2 linked regions of the Arabidopsis thaliana genome follow. The protein of the gene in region 2 interacts with the protein of the main gene of each other region in a pairwise test. Each region holds a gene or a part of one and is shown on either strand. Other genes may lie near its edges.

Region 1 (3,759 bases), on a different chromosome or scaffold from region 2:
TGGTGGCGCCGGTTCTTCCACCGGAAACTGCATATCCGCTCGGGTTACGTGACGGTGCACCGGCGGCGGCGCATCCTCCACCACCGAGAGCATTGACGGCGGCGGAGGAGCTCTCGCGGCGGGAGGAAACATTGTCCGTCCAATCAAAGACCCGTCCCAAGAAGCTCTCGGCTCGTCAAACGAATAACGAGGATCATCAAGCGAGATCCTACCGATGTCAACGGAGAATCTACCGGCGTCAAGAGAGAATCTTCCGGCGTCTAGAGAGAATCGAGGGTCGGTATCGCACGACCTCCGACCATATCCGTAATCAGCAATCTCCGATTGAGTATCCCGGAGCTGTCTCCCAATCGGTTTCTCCACCGGTAATCTAGCTGATCCTGGCCGATGGTCGCCGCCGTTACGCCGCTTCTTCATCTTTTGATTCTGCCTCCATTTCTGAAGCTTCTTGCTGAAAACAGAGGCCGCCGACCAAAAACTCCGTCGTACCGATGGCTTCTTGGTTTGAGAATCAAGATCTATGTAATCCTTTATTGGCTTTAACTCCTCTTCGCTTAAACCCTTTGTTGGTTTCACCGCTTCTTCAATCTCCTCTCTAACTTCAACAATCTCGTCGCTTTTTTCCCTCATTAGTTCGCCGGAATCATTGAGAATCTCAAAGTCGCCAGCTTCAACGTAGTCTTCCTCCTCCTCCTCTTCAAGTTCTTCGTCGTCACTTTCAGCTTCTCCTTCATCGTTTACCTCTAGAACAGGCTCCGCAACGCTTGATTTCCTCGGCTCGACATCAATCTCACCGCCGGTGACATTGCTTGGAAGGTTTCGTTGCTCATCTTGGCTAAACAAGTTCCAAAGAGAGCTTCGAAGCCTGACGTCACAAGACCTACGTTGTGGCTCAAACACGCCGGAGAATCCTTCGTTGTTCTTGGATGCTGAGAAAGATTTCGTACGACGGAGCTCCGGGAAGAATCCGGGTTTAACCCGGCCGTTTCCGTTTGTATTTACACCGCCCACTCCGTTGTTTCCGGAAGGCTTAAAGAGAGCCTTGAGAGCCGCAGCAGAGATGGTCGGAGGCTTTTTAGAGGAAGAAGAGGAACCGCCATTGTTGGTCTGATCTAAGACTGAGAGACGTTCACAGAGACAAGAAGGGCAAAAACCGGTGAACCGCTCTTCTGGGTGACGGTTGCAAGAGGTAGAGAGACGGTGAGGCTGCGGAGGTTGTGGAGGCGGAGCAAGAGCAGCTGCGGCGGCGGAGACTGGGTCAGTAGCTGGATTCATGACGGGAAATGGTGGTTAATCCTCCCTCTGGTCTCATATACTATATCGTCATCACTGTCTGGTCTCTGGCTTATAGAGAGAAAGACAACACTTAAGGTTAGAGAGAGAGATTGGGTAGTGTTGTCTCTGAAACTTCGTCTTGTTCCAACGGTAATTGAAAGAGAAAGGAGATGAACAAGAAAAAAACAAAACAAAAGAATTATTATAGAAAAACCAAATTAGTGTTTTCAAATAAACAAAAGTTTTAGGATATGGTTTTAGCGTGTTAATGTACGGTTATCTAGAAATTTTGTTCAGATTTATTCATATGATATAAGCCAAATCTTATTTTTATGTACTATATCTAACATAAAACATATTAAACCTTTGTCCACTTCAATATTTTGCTTTTTATTTTCTTTGTCAGTTACATTTTTTTTTTGTTAACATGCAAATTAATTGGAGAAATATGATATGTCTAAATTGACCTTATGTTCTGTCGATTTTTGTCTCATGTAATGCTAATATAAACCCGTTACTTGTTGGGTCGGTGGCAAAGTGGATTTTTTTCCCTGCTTTGTCAAAAGCAATTTTAACTAAAAAATCAAAATTTTCACACTACTTTTGACAAAATTTTCAAAAAGCAACAACACATGCTTCATTTTAATCTAAAACAATAACTCTATCGTGATTCAACGATAAGTATGGGGTGCGTGTGTTATTTAGTACATGATGATTTTGTTGATCTAATAAAGTCCGTTTAAAGTTACAAACAAATTATTTCAACGATATTAATTGATTAGTTAATACTAGTAGTATTTTGATAGTGCTGCATCTTGTGCATTTCTTACAGTGCTACCGTAATAATCATGTCAATTATCGCATCAATCATAGCAACAGGCGTCAACTATGGAATTTACCCGCTTTAACCACAGTAACAACTAAGAATTTACTAGTATTTGTTTTTAATTTAAAGAAATTTTAAAAAGAGATACTTTGGAATTAAAAAGATTCGGACCCAAAAAAAAAAGGAAAAGCAAATCACGCCATCACACTCCTAATTTCTTGTCTCTATGACACTCTCTCCTTTCGCTTTCTCTCTTCTTTCCTTTTTCTTTTTCTCTCTTTTGTTTTTCTGTGTTATATATTCATACATTTCTCCAAACTAATCTTCTCGATATTCTAACATTAAGACGAAAAACAGAGGTTTAAAATTAAGACGAATAATTCATAACAAAAATCAAGTACTTTCAAAATTCATTTTTAAAGTTATACTGTTTGCAAGAAGAAGAGAGGTTATAGTCAAGAAAAAACACGAGAAAACATTGATCAAGTTTTCGTTATCAAAGACTGTATTATTTGTATGCTTTCTTTTTTTGTTGTGATATGCATTCTATATAACTTTAACTTTAGTTTTATTCCTTTATCTGATCAAATTTGTCTTGGCTTTTCTTTTCTTTCTGTTTTCCCCACAGAATAATATTCAATTTAGATATTCAAATATATATATTTGCTATTAATATGATTTAGGAACTATAGTACGTACGGGTCTCCGAATGTCTCTAGCATGGGAAACAAATATTGTCCTTCACCTAAACGCCGCTCGTTTGGTGAATCATTTTGTTCTTTCGTATAAACTACAACATACTGTACTAACATTCTAGTAACCATCGTAAGATATAATTTACTATCGTATTTTAATTAAGGTAATATTAGAGGATGACCAAATTTGACAGCATTATTAATAAAATAGCCTTCGTGCAGAAAAGTTGGGTAAATAACATTTTTTTATCCTTCGAAATAACTATTTTACCCTTTATAAATGAGATAAACTCTTTCTTTCCGACAATAGCTGCTACATGTAGGAAACAAAAGATAATACGAAATAATGATTACACCGCTACTTCTTAAAAAATCATGCAATATTAGACCACTACTTATTAAAATCACACGCAATATCTCTTATACCTTAAAAATGTATACGTAAAAGAAAACTTAGTTAAAAGATAGCCATTTAGAAACAGTTGTGATTGAGTATAGAAATATTGCATAAGATATTTAAGGACATGCTATTTATTTTTATTACATTAAAATGTAGGTTTATTGTTTTGACAATATGGTAAATGGGTTTCAACAGAGATAAGCAAACCACATATGTGTTATTTATAGATTACATGTGATTGTACAAATTTGCATGTGATTATAAAAAAAAACATAAATCATGAATCACTAACTTACTTGTGATTTTAGTAAAAAAACATAGATTATTTGTAAAATGCACATTATCTTTAAAAAAATATTATCTTATCAAAAAATATAAACGTTTTAGGAAAATATACATATCAAATAGAAAAATAGAAAAATAGCATGAAGTATTCAAAAATTACATGCTATCGTTTGAATTGAGACATACGGATCATTGTAATTTTAGTAAAGAACAAGTATTATTTAAAAGAAACTTTGAAAAATACAATGTTTTAGAATAAAAATACATGTCAACAAAAG
Region 2 (3,759 bases):
ATTTAACATTTTTCTGAAGTTGTGTGTGCTTTTCATGATTCAGGAGTATTGTTCAGAGCCTGAAAGGTATAATCACGAGCTGCTTCCGTTGGAAAGATCGAGAAACGATGAATCCTTGGAGATGTTTATGGAAGAAACAGAACCATTTGATCCATTTCCATGGCTGGACGAGACAGACATGAGTATTAGACCCTTTGAGAGTGTACTGTCTCTATTGCGAAGCACATTTTTGAGAAAGAAGTCCTAGAGAATATGCTAAGGGGAAATTCTATAAACGTATAAGATTTCTGAAGTAAATATGTAAAGATTTGAGATAAATATATAAAAGTAAATAATTCATCCTAATGATATAAATTTGAACCATTAGTTTTCTGATTACAGGATATGACAACTGTAGACATTTTGAAGTTAAACAACAGAAAAATCAGTTTTCATACAAACTCCTTTTTGGTCGGATTTCAGACCAGATCTTCTTCTGGTAGTAAAAAATGTTTGTGCAATTCTCTACTTCATAGTGCCATTTGATACTCTCTTCTATAAAAATTATTCTATTTTCCTAGAAATCAGTTCTACAGATTTCAAGTTTCCCGTGACAAGGATTCACATAGGTGTGTGTGTGAAAAAGAGAGAACGAGAGACAATTGAATTAATTTAAAGACCCGAAGCAAAGACAAGATTCCACCGAATGTCATTATCACTAGTGCATTTTAACCCCACATGCGACAACAGAGCGTGACATAAAAGCTTTTCCATATTTTTCAAAATGACACAGCTTTCAAAATTACAAAAGTGACTTCGAAATAAGTGAAACGATTCATAAGAAGAAATAAATTGAAACTAGGTTATATGATTATACATAAATATAGTCAAGAACAAGGACCTACCTGTTCCATCATTAACCGTGACACTTTGTCACTTAGCTTCATCTTTGGCCGCAGTGGCAGAAACGTAATAAGCAACACAGAAGAGGGCATGAAGAAAACACAAAATCCCTCCAATGGAGAGAAAATGGTGATGTGTGAATCCACAAGAGGATCTTGACTTACTGTTCGACATCGTCCCAATCACTATACTCCCAAATCCAACAGCGAATACGATCCTGTGATTACACCAGCCAATCATGTCATTTTACTTGGACCAACAATTATTAATGCCAAGAAGATTTTGTATTAACGTACCAAGTGAGGACAAGACAAGCCATGGAGATTTGTCTAGTGGAAGAAGATCTTTGAAACTCGTCTTGAGAGCAAATACAAAGACAGCCTCCGACCAAGTTAAGTAGGACATGAGCCATTACCAATATCGCGGCTGCACCTAGACCGAGCCTGAACGCGTCCTGGCTCGGCTCTCTGCACTCAAATAACCAAAGCCTCATGTGCTTCACCTACAATAGAGGAAATCGATGGTTTCATTTGTTAAAAAAAAATCTATTAATTCAGGTTCCTAATGTTTTTTTTTTTTTTTTTGAGAAAATTTCTAAGTTTGAGACAGTATGTATGTTATGCAACCATCATTACCAATTTTAGCATCATAAATTAGGGAAACAACATTTATTAATTTGAAAGAGAACATTTATTTTACCTGATTTTGGGCGACTTCAGCTTGGATTCCGAGGATTGCAGCAGCTACATCTAAGCCCACAATGACTAGACAAACAAGAATACCTCCTATCTTTGTCATTTTCAAATCTCTTAACTTAGTAGGATTTAGTTTTGTTGGAGATACTTTAAGAAGATACAATTTTGGAAAATGTGAATAAAGAACAGGAGAAGCTTCTTTATGAGGGCCGGGGAAGAATATTAGTTGAAGAGAGAATGAGAATGGGTAGTGGAAAGTCTTAACGAGTAATGATCTTTTATGACAAAATGGGTTGGTGGTATATATATAATAAAGTCGTAAGTAAAGTTGTGAGGGTGTGGAAGAAAAAGAGAGAGAAAGAGATAGAAGAACAACAAATATAGACAATGAGAGAAAAAGATATTTCTCCTGTTGGATATTTGTATCTTTTAGATTTTTTAGCTTACCTTTTAGTTGAATGTAGGAAATGAGACCTATAACGTTATATCATTAACTAGATTGCAATATATAATTACACTGGATAATTGATCGAATCAGATCAATTATAACCCCTTTTTTTTTTTGGTGAGGCTCAATTATAACCTTTTTGATTGATATTTAAAACATCCAAGTTAACATGAAAATTAGAAAGACATTAGTGTCTCTTATGAAATATCTCTTAATATATGCTAAATTTAAAATTATGAAGCTTTTTTGTTTGTCGACAATTTTTTTTAATTATGAATCAAAATGATAAATAATTGTATTGCCCTTAAAAATTAAATAATTGTATTGATATTTTTATTTACTCTTTAGTAGATATATAATTTATTTATCTAAAATTACTATTCACAAAAAAATAATCCTTTTACTTCTAAATTATCATGATAGTTTATACTTTATCTACTTTTGTAATGAATTCATTTTAGTAACTTATTCACAAAATTTCTTACTTTATAATATTCTAGATAAAAAGTCGAACAAAAATGTTTACCGAAAGCAAATCTCCGATTTGGATTAGTATTGTTGATTTTAGTGAAAAGACATAAAGCTATATTTTCGTTTATATTTAATACGATTGTTTGCTACATAGGTAATGTGCTTTAGCAAAGACATAAAGCTATTACAATTTGATGTTGATGTAGATAGAAATTCTAGTAGAAACTCCGAACAAATATAGGATTAGGTAAAACAATTGAAATGATTATCATGGGAATATAATCAATTTTTTAAAAAAAAAGGATAGAAGAAACATGGAATATGATTAGCTGGGATATGTCAAAAATAAAAAAGATTAGCTGTGGGATATGCATGTGGGTACTTTGGCCCAATAAAGCTTCTTTTTGTCCATATGGTCATGGAATGGCGAATTCGCTTTAAATAAAAATTATCGATTTGTTAATTAACATTTCTTCAAGTGAATAATTTATAGTTGCTTTTTATATATTTATTTGGTTTGGTTAAACATGGTTGGATTCTTTGTGTTGGGGGGGAAGAAAAGTAGGGCATAATACAACCCAACCAAGCATGGCCAATATCTTCACTTCTCTGTTAAAGAATCAAATTTATGTTCCTTAATTCCACAGTAATTATGTAGAGAATATATTATTTATAACAACATCATTTGACAATATGGGAAAATTTTAGTTCTAACCCATAGTCGGAACTCGCAAAATCTCCGAACTAAAACAGTTCATATAAAGCGGTTGGCGTCTCGTTCACTAAACATCATTTTGTCATGTGAACATCATCGTGGTTTTATCCAAACAATAATGCAATAATCCAAATTTGTTTTTGAAAAAAATGAATATTCTAATTTCTAATTGTTAAGTTGTGCTTCGAATCACGCGGTTTAGTAATGGTTGTGTGACATTAAACCGAATTTGTATTTTTTTTGTTTAAATATTAAACCGAAGAAAAAATGTTAAACCGAAGACTAACTGAACCGGAATTGGCTGAAAATTAGGGTTTTACTGATTAATAGAGATAAGGTTTTTTATGAGCCGTGTTCATGTTGTTATCTTGTACGATAGATTTTTTGGCCATGATTCGTGAACCTCCGGATTTATGGAGCTCTCCATGATCTTGTGAAGTTAAGTTTATGAATTGTTCAATCCCGCTCTCGCCGAGATGTAGGATCAATATCACACCGATTGATCTTAACTAATAACTTCTTGTGTTCATCTACTTCTCTTATCTATC

What was found.
Region 1: the proteins of AT2G32280 (region 2) and OPS interact in a two-hybrid assay, tested with the Arabidopsis thaliana proteins (one study listed by BioGRID).

The regions. Positions count from the first base shown.
Region 1 is NC_003074.8:2,769,663-2,773,421, forward strand, and holds the start of OPS (LOW protein: UPF0503-like protein, putative (DUF740)), read right to left. Parts: upstream 1,714-3,759; 5' UTR 1,276-1,713; coding exon 1-1,275. UniProt on the Arabidopsis thaliana protein: Potentiates primary root protophloem differentiation. Required, together with VCC, for embryo provasculature development and cotyledon vascular complexity and connectivity. Regulates roots architecture.
Region 2 is NC_003071.7:13,711,131-13,714,889, reverse strand, and holds the start of AT2G32280 (GPI inositol-deacylase C, putative (DUF1218)), read right to left. Parts: upstream 1,925-3,759; 5' UTR 1,681-1,924; coding exon 1,582-1,680; intron 1,385-1,581; coding exon 1,179-1,384; intron 1,100-1,178; coding exon 913-1,099; 3' UTR 885-912; exon of another isoform or gene 391-884; intron 375-390; exon of another isoform or gene 248-374; coding exon of another isoform or gene 44-247; 3' UTR 1-43. Other genes in the region: BAM6 (beta-amylase 6), read left to right, coding at 44-247. UniProt on the Arabidopsis thaliana protein: Required, together with OPS, for embryo provasculature development and cotyledon vascular complexity and connectivity.